2 linked regions of the Elephas maximus indicus genome follow. Each later gene encodes a partner of the first gene's protein in a complex. Links are inferred from orthologs where the notes say so. Each region holds a gene or a part of one and is shown in the gene's direction. Other genes may lie near its edges.

What was found.
Region 2: MICOS13 (region 1) and APOOL share a complex: the UniProt entries of both Homo sapiens proteins name them as parts of the mitochondrial contact site and cristae organizing system (MICOS) complex. The link is inferred for Elephas maximus indicus from reciprocal best matches to the Homo sapiens genes MICOS13 and APOOL.

Annotation. Positions count from the first base shown.
Region 1 is NC_064821.1:8,832,185-8,839,016, reverse strand, and holds MICOS13 (MICOS complex subunit MIC13), read left to right. Parts: upstream 1-4,034; 5' UTR 4,035-4,394; coding exon 4,395-4,423; intron 4,424-5,077; coding exon 5,078-5,255; intron 5,256-5,431; coding exon 5,432-5,483; intron 5,484-6,075; coding exon 6,076-6,185; 3' UTR 6,186-6,320; downstream 6,321-6,832. Other genes in the region: HSD11B1L (hydroxysteroid 11-beta-dehydrogenase 1-like protein), read right to left, coding at 1-66, 158-323, 477-570, 741-875, 1,202-1,313, 1,893-2,023, 2,112-2,184. UniProt on the Homo sapiens protein: Component of the MICOS complex, a large protein complex of the mitochondrial inner membrane that plays crucial roles in the maintenance of crista junctions, inner membrane architecture, and formation of contact sites to the outer membrane.
Region 2 is NC_064846.1:80,232,169-80,240,007, reverse strand, and holds the start of APOOL (MICOS complex subunit MIC27), read left to right. Parts: upstream 1-4,834; 5' UTR 4,835-4,864; coding exon of another isoform or gene 4,865-4,879; intron 4,880-7,839. UniProt on the Homo sapiens protein: Component of the MICOS complex, a large protein complex of the mitochondrial inner membrane that plays crucial roles in the maintenance of crista junctions, inner membrane architecture, and formation of contact sites to the outer membrane.

The DNA of each region.
Region 1 (6,832 bases):
GCGCCGCCGCGGACCACGGCCAAGGCCGCCTTGGGCTCCGGAGCCGCCCTGGCCCTCGTGACGCCCCTGGGGACGGGAGGGCGCGGTGGGGGGCTGCGGCGGAGGCTGCACGGCCCCGACAGCCCCCGGCCGCGCCCGGCCCCCTGCCCGACCTCACCTGACTCCCTCGGCGGCCGAGGCGCGATCCCGGAGCCCCAGGATGCACATGGTGACTGCCACATTCACGTCCTGCACGTCCAGTTCCCGCCGCAAGGAGCCGAAGAAACTCTCCAGCGCGAACTTGGCTGCTGAGTAGGGGACGGAGAAGGAGGCGGGCACGCGGCCTAGGGGCGTGGCATGGGCGTGGCATGGGCGGGGTTGACCGGCTACAAGGTGCGCCTCATCCTCCCGGAAGCCTTCCTGCCTGCAGCCCCCCAGGATGAGCGGTCACCCCCTCCCAAGACCCCTCCCGAAGAACCGAGGCCATGTGTACGCACCGAGCAGCGAGAACACCACCACCAGGGAGCCCTTGCTGTCCGTCAGGCTCGGCAGCGCCAAGGAAGTCAGCTGTACATAGCTCAGAAAATTCACCTAGAGGCGGTGACCAGGGGTGACGAGGCCAGGGCGAAGCCTGGGGCGGGGCGGGGCCAAGGCCCAAAGGGGCAGGGACCGGGGCAGGCAGGGGCGGGGCCTAGGGGCGGGGCAGGCACGGGCGGGGCCAGAGGTTTGGGAGGGGCGTGGTCCCGGACGGGAGGACGGACCGGCGCCGTGGAGCAGACCAGGGCCGCGACGGGGACGGAGCACCTGTATGAGCCAGCGCGTCCCCTGCGGGGTGCCGGCCCGCGTGCCGGCCGGGGTAGCGCCGATGTGGTTCAGCACAAGGTAGTCCAGCCCGCCTGGCCCGGAGAGGCCGGTCAGCCCGGGGCCAGCCCCCGAGGCCCCGCCCCCTGAATACAGTGAGCTCCGCCCCAGTAACACCCCCTGGGTTTAGGGAGGCCCCGCGCCGGACGCTACCCCCTGGATCTCATACAGGTTAGTCCCACGTCCGAGGCGTCCCTGTCCGGTGTCCCAATCCCTGGATCCAGCGCGGGTCCGCCCTTAGCCACGCCCGACCCCGTTAAGTGCCCGCCCCCAGGACACCCGTCGCTGCCACACCCTCACCCAGTTAGCGTCCCGCCCCTCGGCCTAGGCCCCGCCCCTCGGCCTAGGCCCCGCCCCTCACCCAGCATCTCCAGCGCAAACCGCACCACGCGCTCCGGCGCCTCAGCGGAGGCCATGTCCGCCGCGATGTAGAAGACCTTGGGGGCGCCCAGCTTCCGGCAGTTCCCTACCACCTGGGGGGGAGGGCAGAGCTGCCCGTGGGCCCCTCCACCTCAGCTGGCCCCCTCTTGGGTCCTCAGACTGAAACCCCCTCACCTACTGTGAGCCTCGGGTGCCACTCAACATTACGCCCAAAGCTTTAGCACTGAGGCTGTAAACTGGCGGCCCCCTGGGCCAGAATGACCTACTGACGTTTCGTTTAACCAATCACCAACATTACAAACTCGGGAGATTTCACATCCATCTCCAGAGTTCTGGCTTCTCCGGAAAATTTGGAAGGTTTGTTCCCAAGAGCCACAAGCTCCCTTTGGACAATGGGCTGTTGCATCCACCCTTCTCTAGAGAACACGGGCTTTCAGTGGCTGTTGGACTTTATCAATTCATTGCTTTACACTCACTGCCGTATTGAATCGACACATCACCACAACCCACGAGAAGATACTTTTATTGTCTCCAATTTGCAAATGAGGAAACAGGCTCAGAGAGGTTAAGCAACTTGCCCAAGGTCACACAGTAAGCCTGGATGGGTGCAGGAATTCAACCCCAGGCTCCCTTTTGCACCCCACCCCACACTGACCAACGAGGCAGCTCACCTTCTGCACAAGGACCTCCGTGTGGCCGGTGAGCACCAGGCGGGCACCCAGGCGGGCGTAGTGATAAGCCAGCTCCTCACCGACGCCGGCACTGGCCCCTGTCAGGAGCACACGGGCTCCCTGGAGGCTGTCTGGCAGTGGGCAGGGGTGCTCAGCCTTCAAGGTGGACAGGACAGCAGGCCCAATACCTTCTCCCCTCCCCTAGCCCTGGTCACTCACCTGGGTCAAAGTTGTCATCCCAATAATAGGCGAAGAACAGGGCCCCGAGCCCTGTGAAGAGCAGCACCTTCATGGCCCTCCCTGGGCCTGCAGTGGCCACAGCCACAACCGTTTCTCCAGCTGCACCTTTGTTGAATCAGCATTTGGTGATGGCCTTGGGCCTGTCCCCTCCTTTACATCTCCACAGCCACCACTGGGCTCACCTGAACTATTGCACCAACCTTCTCCTGGCTCGGAGCCTTCTCCCTTCACCCACGAGCCCGATCACATCTTGTCCTAACCCTGCTGAAAGTTCTCCCCTTTGATTTAGGACAAAACCCCACTCCTCAATGGCCAAAGAGGTCCTGCGTGGGCCAGCTCCTCCCTGCCCCCTTGCTCATTCTGTTCAACCACACCAACATGCTGCCCCAGGACTTTTGCACTGGCTGTTCTCTCTGCCTGCGATGCTTTCCCCAAGCACATGTGAATGGATGTTCTGTAATCTACAATTATTTCCAAAAGGGCTTTCTTTTCTAAATGGCGCCCTGGTGGCACAGTGGTTAAGAGCTCCTTTGCTAACCAAAAGCTCGACTGTTAGAATCCACCAGCTTCTCCTTGGAAACCCTATGGGGGGCAGTTCTACTCTGTTCTATAAAAATATATATATATAGTGTTGCTATGAGTCGGAATCGACTCGATGGCAATGGGTTTTCCCTTTCTAAAAAAACGAAAACCAAACCCACTGCCATTGAATCGATTTCAACTCATAGCAACCCTACAGGATAGAGTAGAACTGCCCCACAGAGTTCCCAAGGAACACCCTGGTGGATTAGAACTGCCAACCTCTTGGTTAGCAGCTGTAGCACTTAACCACTACACCACCAGGGTTTCCAGGCCCTTTGTCGGGTCTCTGTTTCCTTTAACTTTAGCCTTTTGAGCTCCTCCTCAACATTCTGTCATCGCCTGAAATTATCTTCATAATTTGGTACACGTTCACTGTCAAGAGAAATCTACCTGCGGTCTTTCTGCTCCAAACCCTCCCAGGGCTCCCCATTGCCCTTGGACGAGGCCAGGCTCCTCACCTCAGCCAAAGAAGCCCAGCAGGCCTGGCCCCTGCCCACCTCTCCAACATTCTGCCCACTACTCCCATATATGAATCTTTCGGTTCTCAGAAAAGTGAACCCCTCACCCTATTCCAGTTCGCCAGGTACCCCCTTAGCAGTGAATGCACTCCCACCTCTCCCTTCTTCCAGGAAAGTCCATGAAGCCAATCAAACACCCTCCACCCCCCGTCCTCACCACAGAAGCCCATGGGGGAGGTGGGGAGGTGGGAGCGATGGAGGGAGGGATGGATGGATGGATGAAGCAGCCTTAAGGAATGGGGGCACCGGATTCTTGCACAACCGACAGGGTCCTTAACCTCGCCTGTCTAATGTTACTCTCTGGGCAAAGGGGGCGTGCGGTCCACTGCACACCTCCACCTGCGCACTCACCCACTCAGGCCTCAGTTGCCCCCGCCGTCCTGCCCGGCTGGGGTCCCAGCCTGGGAGCCAAAACACGACCCTCCCTCCAGCCTCCCTTTCCCGGCCGCGTTCGCTCGAGCACCCGACCGCTACCAGTCCCGCAGGGCCGTAGTCACGTGACTCCTAACCCATCCCGGAGAGACCAGGCCGTGGGGACTCCGCGCCAGGCGTTGCCGGGGCAACGGCCTCCCGCCCTGCTTCCCCACCCCCGGCTGCGGCCCCGGCCCCGCCCACTAGACTGAGGTTCCACGCCTAATGTGTATCACGTGACTTCGGGCCCGCCTCCGTCGAACTATTCAGCCACCGCGTTGCCGTGACAACCTCCTTCTAGGCGCTCTCCCCTAGGCTTGGGCCCTCAGTACCCCGCGCGGGCGCGGGTGAGTCTCACGAGCCCCAGCATCTCCTTCGTTATTACCCTTAGGCCTCTCCAGACGTCCGATACCTCCCTCCCCTTGCGCTGCCAGGGCGGAGCCGGACTGGACTACATTTCCCAAGAGACTTCGCGGCCAGGCGAGACTTTCGGCGGCTCTGCAGATCTCTGCCGACTACATTTCCCAGCAGCTTTGCGGCATCCCGGAGAGTGAAGACTACACTTCCCACGAGCCCTTCGCGGCGGGACAACAGCCCTTCTCTGGCGTCTTGGAGCCAGGGAGTCTCCGCCTCTGACTCCCGGAGGCCTTTGCGGGTGGCAAGAGAGACTACCCTTCCCAGAGGCTTCTGCGGCGCCGCCGCCGGAAGTGGCGGGCCAGCCGAGTGTCCTTGCGCGCGGAGTGGAGTGACCATGGTGGCCCGCGTGTGGTCGCTAATGAGGTGCGTGAGACCATCGGGCGGGTCCTGGACCCCAGAGAAAGTCCCTTCCTGCGGGCACCACCCCCTGCGGTTTGGTCTAGGCCTTTCTCTTCGCTTCCTGTAGTGTCAGGCCTTCATAGCCCAAATAGGGAAACTGAGGCTAGGCGGGGCGGGCTTGCAGAAGCCGCATAAGCGCCTCCTTTCTACCTCCCAGCGATCTCGAGTGCCCACTGTAGCCGAGATACCTCCGATCCTCAGTTGTCTCTTCTGCAAAACGGGAATACCCAGAGAATCCTTCCACACACGTTTATTTTGGGCGCAGCGTGAGACATGCACGAAACGCTCGGAAACACTTGGAAGGCCCCGTCCCTAGGCTGGCGGTCAGAAGGCCAGGGTCTTAAGTCTTCGCTGTCCACTGCTCTCCGCTGGACGTTGAGTGGCCCACTGTCCGTCTCCGTGCCTTAGTTTGCCAGTTAAATAGAGTTGAGCATTTTTGCTTTGCACACTGTCAGTATTGGGGGGGGGGGTCTGTGCTTCCCCTGGCTACACATGTGACACCCTCGACTGTGATCCGCGCCCCCGCCAGGAGAGTCCAACTTCTCCCTGTGTTCATGGACCCCTGAGGGTGGCCTGCCGTGCTCGCTGAGCTTCTGTGGCTCCCTCCTGTTCCCGCAGGTTTCTTATCAAGGGCAGTGTGGCAGGAGGCGCAGTCTACTTGGTGTATGACCAGGACCTACTGGGGCCCAGCGACAAGAGCCAGGCGGCCCTTCGGAAGGCTGAAGAGGTGGTCCCCCCAGCCATGTACCAGTTCAGCCAGTACGTGTGCAAGCAGACGGGCCTGCAGATACCCCAGGTACCCTGGGCTGGAGGAAGGCCAGGGCTGGGGCGGGGGGCGGGGGTCAGCTCTGGAGTCTCCCTGGGTCCCTCCCTGTGCAGACCTGATTCTGAGGCACATGGTCTTCTCCCTGCATCTGGAGGGGCTGTTGGGCCTTCTCCCCTCACCAACCCCATCTCTTTCTCTCTTCCCAGCTCCCACCCGCTCCGAAGCTTAACTTTTCCTTCCGCGACTCCTGGAATTCAGGTAGGCCCCTGGGGCCTCTTTTTGGAGGGGTAATGGGTTGCCTAGCCTAGCCCCAGGTATGCCTCCACAGGTCTAATGGAGGAGATAGAAGAGGAGATAGAGACTTGACTGGGGCTAAGAGGCTGGCAGGGGGTGGGGGGTGTGTGCATTGCTTGGGTAGAATGGTGATGGAGGATTAGGGTCTGAGCTTGTCATGTGACCTCCCACAAACCAAGGCCCTGACTCTTCCGGCTCCAGGGAAGCACAAAGGTTAAGCTAGCCAACAGGTCGGCAGGTGGGACCCACCCAGAGGGGCATCAGAAGAAAGGGCTGGTGATCTGCTTCTGAAAGGTCACAGCCTCAAAAACCTATGGAGCAGTTTTACTTTGCACACGTGGGGTTGCCCCAAGTCAATCAACTAGAGGGCAACTAACAACAAGTCCCTCCTCTGCCTCAGTTTCTCCACTTGGAGTAACAGTGCAGGAGGTGGTTCCTCTAAAAGCCTTTTGAACCTATAGTGTCTTGGGGATTGGACCAACTCCCTTGTTTGAAGGGTCTGGGTAGCTGAGTGGGGAGCCTCACCGGGCAGCCGCCCCGGCCCCCTTCTGCACAGGTATCGTCACGGTGATGTCAGCACTGTCAGTGGCTCCCTCCAAGGCCTGCCATTACTCCAGGAAGGGCTGGGACTACATCAAGGAGCGCGCCAAGGAGCATTCCAAGTAGTGCTTCGGATGCAGCCCCTGCTCTAGCCAGGATGGGGGCAGGGACACCATGGACCTGAAGACTCCAGTCTGGGACCCCTCTGAGGGCAGCTCACGGCCTTATGGGCCCAATAAAGGACTTCTGAAGTGTTCCCAACCAGCGTGCTGGCCTGGGGCTCCTCGGGCACTGTCTAGGCCCTGGCCTGGGGGAATCCAGGCACACAGCGGACCCTGGCGCTCCGGAGACAGTGCTCGGGGTGCTAGAAAGGCTGAGAAGGTGCTGAGGGCGAGCCCAGGGAGCTTGGCTCTTGCGGGGCTGAGCTTCAGTGGGGTAGTCCGGGAGCCGGGGCACGGGAATCCATGCCTCCTTCACCCTCGGCCCCAGCTGAGGCTGCCGAATCTTCCCTCCTACTCAGCTGGCTAGTCTACCGCTGCCCACCTTCCAGCCAGCCCTCCTTCCCCTGGCCCCCAGCCCCAGCTTCCACCCTGTCCCTGGCAGCCCTGGACATTTCTGGAGTGGGCAGGCCTAATGGGCACTGCCATTCAGGGGCCGCACCCCCCAGTATCATGTCCCCAGGAAGCCCTCTCTAAGGCCCTGCCTCACGTCCAGGTGTCCCTGCTGGACCTCCAACACTCAGCCCCAGGGCCACCACGGGAAATGTGTTGATG
Region 2 (7,839 bases), on another chromosome or scaffold:
TATGGCAGGCATGGAGGTATTACACTGACCCTGGGCGTGTGGCACCACTGAGTAGTTTCTATTAATCCAGCAGTGACCTGAGTTTGGCTACAAGCTTCCTTCCGGAAAAGTGGGCATTGGAGGCTCTCCGTGGTTGCCAACATATTAACCTGTCTCTCTATGAGTACTTCTCTACTGCCTACTAAAACTCGAGCTCAAGTCTAAGACATAGCTCCAGGTACGCGAAAAGATGAGGCTGGAGAGATAAACAGTGGCCAGATAAATAAGAACCTGATGAGCCATGTGTCTTAGGTTAGGTTCTCCAGAAAAGCAAAACCAGTAAAGCGTATAAATACATATAGAGATTTATATCAAGGAAAAGGCTCACACGATTGTAGAGGCTGGAATGTCCCAAGTCCATGGGTTAGGATACGGGCTTCTCCTGATTCTCATAGCCACAGGCGTTGGTGAACCCAAGATCCACAGGTCAGACAGCAGGGCTCTTGCTCACAGTACGAAGATCGATGAATCCCAAGATCAGCAGGCAAGATGGCAGGTAAGTTACAAGCTCAAGTCTTGAAAACCAGAGGTCAGACAAACAGGAGACGGCTGCAGGATCCAGAGTGAGCAAAAGCCCGTGAGCCTTGCCAAAAAGTCCACTTATATTCGATGCAGGCCACATGCCCAAGGAAACTCCCTTTCAACTAACTGGCTTCTCACAGCAGATCCCATCATGGAGGTGATCACACTATATCAAATCTTATCATGGAAGTGGTCACAACATCATATGACTGCCAAACTACATCACAAATGCCAAACCACTGAGAATTACAGCCCAGCCAAGTTGACACACAACCTTAACCATCACGCCATGTTAAAAATTTGGATTAATAACTATGTGACCTTGGACAAATTAGCCAAGGAGATCTAGGCAGAAGCAGCAGCATAGTACAAAAGCCCAGAAAGGTGAAAGAAAGTGGAGCATGTTCCTGGTACTAGAAAGGCTTCAGTGCGGCTGGAGTATTGAGTGTGAGGACAAAAGTAGCCTGAAGGTGAAAAAGTAGACCAGATCATACATGGCCTTAGATAAGCAGGATGACCATACATCCCTGTTTTCCAGAACAGGCCCAGTTTTTATACGTTGCTCCAGGGTAATTACATATAGTGTCCCCATAATGTTCCCTTAAAAGTGTTGCAGTTTGGATGATTCAATTATTGGTCTTGACTCAATACTCCCATTTCATTCTCTACAGTGAAAATAAAGTGATCATCTGATAGCATCTACCCATTTTCCTGAAACACTTCAATGGTCCTCCATTGTTTTTAAGATGAAGTCTAAGCTCCTTAACGTAAATACATATATAACAAATGAATACATGAATGAATTAATATACGTAGTCTGAGGTTTAGATATAGGTCTAGGCAGGAGATACAGTTTGGGGTCATCTCCATATAGTTAGTAACTGAAGTCATAGGAAGCAAGAAATTATCCAGAGTGTATAAAGTGAAAAGAATAAAGGTCTGTGGAAGAAACTCCAATGTCTATTCTCCCCTTCTATAATAATAATAGATCCCATAATTTTTAGCTGGACGCATCACTGCTCAGAATATAGACTTAATTTTCTAGCCTCCCTTACTATTAAGTGTGGCCATGTGACAAGGTTCTAGCCAAAGGAATATAAGCAGAAGCAGTGTATATTACACTTTTGAGAAGTGTCGTTAATGTGGAGGGGTGTATCTCTCTTGTCCCCCCTTTCACTTTCCTGTTATTGGAATACAGATGTAACAGCTGGAACTAGTAAAGCAATTTTGAACCAGTAGGTGGAAGCGCATGTTGAAGATGTTAAAACAATGAGATAGAAGAGGCCTGGATTTCTGAAAATCACAGAGCCACCATATCAGCCCTGAACTGCCTACATTTATAAGAAAAGGCAACAGACAGTAGGTTATTACTGATATATATGATTTTCTGTCACTTATAGCTAAACCTAATCAAGACTTAGTGAATGGAAAGAGAGGAGGAGCCCCCAAAGGAGAATGAGACAACAGTCAGTTTGTGTTCATTAAAAAAAAGGTTTAAAATAGCCACCATAAAGAAGAGGTGAAACAGCTACCTAATGTTAGTTAGATTGGTCCAGAATGGAGGTTTTTTTCAGAGGATAAAACAAAATCGTTCCAATAAGGTCAGGTAGTTGAGTTTATTGCAAACAAAGTAGTGGAAGAGATGTACCATGAGGTTTAGATTAGCTGGAAAAGAAAATGTGACTGGAAGGGCCTAACAGTGAAAAAGGAGAGATGTGGTGGTGGTTTTAAAACATGCCTATAAATTATTTTGTATATCTTCCTTCAAAAGTAGAGCTTACTTCCTCTCCCCTTGAGTATGGGCTGTACTTAATGACTCATTTCCAATGAATAGAATGTGATGTATAACACCCAAGATTAGGATATAAAAGGTAATATAGCTTCTACCTTGTTCTTTCCCTTGGGTCACTCATTCTGGGGCAAGCTAGCTGTCATGTCATGAGGACATACTTGTTTTTTACACTGCTAAATTTTGGGGATAAATTGTTATATAGCCATAGATACCTAATACAGACATAAAGGACCTAAAGATCTTGATGAGATTAAAAAAAAAGAGTGTGGATCAAAATCAAAGAGCTTGAAGAATAATAGTTGAGGTCAGAGACGAGAGTACCTGAATTTAAAATCTCAGAGGTGGAGTAGTTCTTAATGATAACAGAGTCAAGGGTATGGCCATTGTTATGGATAACTGAACTGGAATGAGTGTAAAAGTCACTGGAGATGAGGGTATCATGGGTCTACAAGGATACTGAAGTTGCCAAGGATCACCAAACATCATCAGACAAGAGCCCATACAGAATCCTAGAATGTCAGAACTGGAAATGACATATAGTAAGTCATCCAGTCCATCTAGTTTTTCTAAGTGTGGCCCAAGGACTACCTGCATTAGAATCACCTGAGGTACACATCAGACATTCCCCTACCTTAGGCCAAATGAATACTAACATCCAGGGGGTAGTACACAGGAATCTGCATTCTATAAAATTGTCCAGGTGATTCTTACACACACTAAATTTGAGCACCTTTGGTCTAGTTCAACCCTTTAGTTTATAAGACTCCTCCGTTAGAGGGGTCCCTGGATGGCAAAAACTGTTAAGCACTCAGCTACTAGCTAAAAGATTGGTGGTTTGAACCCACCCAGAGGCACTTCAGAAGACAGGCCTGGCTTTCGAAAGGTCCCAGCCTTGAAAACCCTATGAAGCAGTTCTACTCTGCACACATGGGGTAGTTGTAAGTCAGAATCAACTCGACAGCAACTAACAACAACCTCTTTTAGAGGCCAAGATCTTATTTTGATTCTAATACTTTCAATTACACAAAGCTGCCTTTTGTGCCCAAAACAATCTGCAACTTTGGTAAATCCATAATAATAATCAATATTTAAAAATAAATTAAAAAAAAGAAAATCCATATTCTTTATATACGATCTGATTCCCGTGTGACTTCTCTTCTGCTTTCTACCTCACTCACCAAGCTCCAGTAAATTTGTTCCCACCTCAGGGTCTTTGCATTTGTTGTTTCTTCTGACTGGAACACTCAGATATTCATAAGTGGACACTCATGTTGCCAAGTCTCAACTCAAATGCCATCTCCTTCAAGTTTTCTTTCCTTCCAATCTAAAGTAACTCCAGCCCCAACCCTGTCACCCTCTATAGTATTTATCACTATCTGCAATGATCTTGTTTATTCATTTGTCTTTTTTTTTTTTTTGGTCAAAAATGTACACTTAAGGTCCACCAGGTCAGGGCTTGTGTGGGTATTGTTCATTACTTCATGCCCAGCAGCGGGGCACCAAAGGCAGGGGTGGAGTGGTCTACTCTGAGTGCAGGCAATAAGGAAGACGGATTATCTGTATTTAGAAATAATACATAATACAATGAAATAAAGTTGTTCTGATTTTTATTATCATCGCAGAGCTGGTGATCTAAGCAATGTCTGTGATAAAATACTTCTCCCTACAAAACTTTTTTTTTTTTTTGCCTATGTTCTAAATAATTTTTGTGGTTAATGTCGAGTGTCATATAACGTATATGAAACCTTCAAATTAGCACACTGTTATAACATCATTTTACAGCCATTGTATTCATTAAAGTAAGTTTGGAGAACTCCCAGTTATACAGTAAGTCCTCAACGCATTCAGACTGAGCTACATGCATTCCTTCAGAGAATAAGTTCACAAGATTCGGAATTTTTGGAACTCGCTTCTAGTGCAGTTTGTGTCTCCAGCCCCTGTGGTATGTATCCCTGCATTTAAACAGGGACCAAAAAGAAAAATCAAACCCACTGCCCTCCAGTCGACCCCCACCCCTACTTGCCCCGTAAGGTTTCCAAGGCTGTAAATCTTTAAGGAGGCCGACTGCCAAATCTCCTCCCAGGACCAGACATCTCGGTTAGTAGTCGAGCGCTTTAACCACTGCAACACCGGGGTTATCAGGGTCAAAACTCAAACCCGTTGCCGTGGTGTACATTCCGACTCATGGTGACCCTATAGGACACAGTAGAACTGCCCAATAGAGTTTCCAAGGAGCGCCTGGTGGATTGGAACTGCCGAGCTTTTGGTTAGCCATAGCACTTAACTACTAGCCACCAGGGTTTCCTTACCAGGGACAGGGAGCGTCGGGTACAAGGATGAAACTGTTTCTCCGGCCCGCAGCCAACGAATAGCAGCAGCAGCTTCCTGAAACGGCTCCAGGAGGGCGGAGAAAGGGCGGGACGGCGCGGGGCTGCCCTGAAGAGAGCCAAGTCGAAGTGTTTTGTCCCTCTTCGCTCTCCGTATGAAAAGTTGGGCGGAGAGGTCACAGGCATGGCGGCCGTTAGGGTAAGTGAAAAGACACCTTGCTTAGCTTACTTGGGTACAGATAGCCTTTCTAGTAAGTGTAAAAGTGATCCTCTTGACTTCAGAAAGAGGCCTGACAGCAAGGGGCGGGGTGGGAGTAGAGTCATAGGAAGATAATCAAGGTCAGGGAGTCATTAACGTTTGAAGCTTCAAACTCTTAGCCTAAAAACACCTGCCTTTCCATTTAGATTTTCCTCGGCTTGGGACACCGCTTTCCTCAATTTCCTGCGGCTGACTGCCTTGCCGAGGCACAGTAAAAACTGCTGAGCTGCGAGCACCAGCAGAGGTTTGGGTCTCGAACTGGAAGAGAAATTCTGGGCGTTTGTCTCGGTGCACGGGGCGGGGCCTCTTAACCCTATCCAAAGACTTTGTTCCGACATGTTTGAGGGCGAAATAGGCTAGAATAGAGAGGTCCCAGAGTCTCTCTGCGGTACGCGGGTTTATACATATTGTTACTACTCCCTGGGTTCAAAAATTTTATTTTGCGTTCTGTAATGAAAAAAAGGTGCTTTTACTTAGGAAGGAGCCCTGGTGGTACAGTGGTTAAGAGCTCGGCTGCTAACCAAAATGTCGGCAGTTCAAATCCACGAGTCGCTCCTTGGGAAACCCTATGGGGCACTGCTTTGTTCTGTAGGGTCGCTATGAGTCGGAACCCGCTCGACGGCAACGGGTTTTTACTTAGGAATCTGTGTACGGGAAGTGACTCAGCTGGCTGTTTCACTTCACGAAGTAAGTTCAGTAACAGCAGTTTACAAATATTTAAGTAGCGGGTTTTAACTGAAAAATGACCTGCCAGACTTGCTGGAGATACAAATATGAATTCATTTCAGCCGAAGTTTACTTGAACTTCGCTCAGTATTCATCTTGATTCGCCTTTCTCACTTTGTTTCTGAAATTCAGGTTCTCATAATTTATCTGAACTATTGCAGCAACCGCCTAACTGGACTCATTGCCTGACTCTCCTGGAATCCATTCTCCTGTGCTGCCAGGGTAGCTTTACTAAAACGCAAATCTGATTATGTCCCTCACCTACTTAAAACCCTTTATTGGCGCTCCATCATCTGCCTTCTGGAAACAGGTCAAACTCCTGTACCTAGAACACCCTACCCTGCTTTAGTTCTCTAGCTTCGTTGCCTGCCATTCAGGAACCCTCCTCCCATCAATACTGAACTACTTGTTTCACTCTTCCACACCTTTTTACCTGCTCTTTGGCCCCTAAATGCCCTTCCCCATCCTTATCTAGTAAGTTCCTACTCACGGTTCATTCATTGATGTAACAGATATTTATGTAGGGCCTCCCCATATGCTAAGTACAGAGTGCCTTTTTCAACAGTGTATCCTCAACCTCCCCAGTCTAAATAACTCTTCTTTGTGCTCTCAGAGCACTTTAGGCATACTCTTACCTTAACGTTTATCACATTGTGAATAATAAACTATTTACTTGTCTCTTCTACTCTCCTGAACTATAAGCTTGAGCTCTATAATTATAACATATTAATCTTTGTATCCTTGGTACCTAAGGAGCCCTGGTGGTTCAGTGGTTAAAGCGCCAGGCTGGTAACTGAAAGGTCAGCGGTTTGAACCTGCCGTCTGCTCCACGGGAGAAAGATGTGGCAGTCTGCTCCCATAAAGATAATGTACAGCCTTGGAAACCCTATGAGGCAGTTCTACTCTGTCTTATAGGGTTGCTATTAGTTGGAATTTTTTTTTTAATCCTTGATATACCTAGCACAGGTCTGACTTATACTAGGTGATTAATATATTCTACATGAGTAAATAAGTGCCAGGCAATGAGAATAAAAGAGATTAAATTAAGCAGTGGAGATGCAAAAATAACACAAAGGACTAACTCACAGTAAGGGAAGTGCCTTGCCTCAAGAGGTGTAGGAAGTGCTCTGAGGACTCAAAAGAGAAAGAGCTCATACTTGGTTGAAAGGGGATTAAGAAAGGCTTCATGGAGCAGTTACAGAGACAGAAAAGGAATGGTCATTGGTAAAAATCAAACCAGAACAGTGTGTTGTCACGGAAGCAAAGAAAAGGAGAGAATTGAACAGGTCATCTAATTTGACAATTAAGAAGTTGCTGGCAACTGCCATTTATTAAGTGCTTACTACAGGCTAAGCACCGTGCTAAAATACATATGTTATTTCACTTAATTCTCAGGACAACTTTATGTGGTAGATATTATGATCACTGTTTTACAGAAAAAAACTAAGGTTTATAGAAGACAAATTGCCCCAAATCATAAAGCTGGTAAGAGCTGAAGTGAGATAAGATGTTTGAGTGGTAGAAAGAGAACCTAGATTGTAAGGGGTTAAGGAAAGGATATGGAGTGGTGAACTAGCATTTGTTTAGCACCTACTTTAGTCAGATACTTTACATATATTATTTCAGTTTAATCTTCTTGATGACTCTAAGAAATGGGTAGTATCCCCCCTTTTACACATGAAAAAACCGAGGCTTGTATTAAGTGCTTGTCCCAGGTCATAAAAACTGCTAAGTGGGAGAGCCAGGTTTAAACACAGGTATATTTGGCTTTGAAGTCCATGATGTTCTCACTATTCATTGCTGCTTCTGGTAAGGTTGGTGTATACTATTTTGAGAAGTTTGATGGTGAAAGGAAGGAATGAAATCTTGGGATGAGGTAGGAAATTCTTGAAAAGGTATATATTACTTTAAAGAAAAATCAGGAGAGTTGAGCAAGTTTTGAGACAACGGGAAAGGTGCCTGGAACTAGTATAGAGGGAAAGATAATAATGGTAATCACAGCTGTTATGCTGTTGGACACACTAAATGTGTGCTAGGCATTTTGCTTAGCACTTTATGTGCATTTTCTCATTTATGTGTCATAGTGACCCTATGAGTAGGTGTTATTATTAACATCTTTTTACAGGTAAGGAAACTGAAGCGTTGAAAAGTTGAGTAGCTTGCCCACATCATAC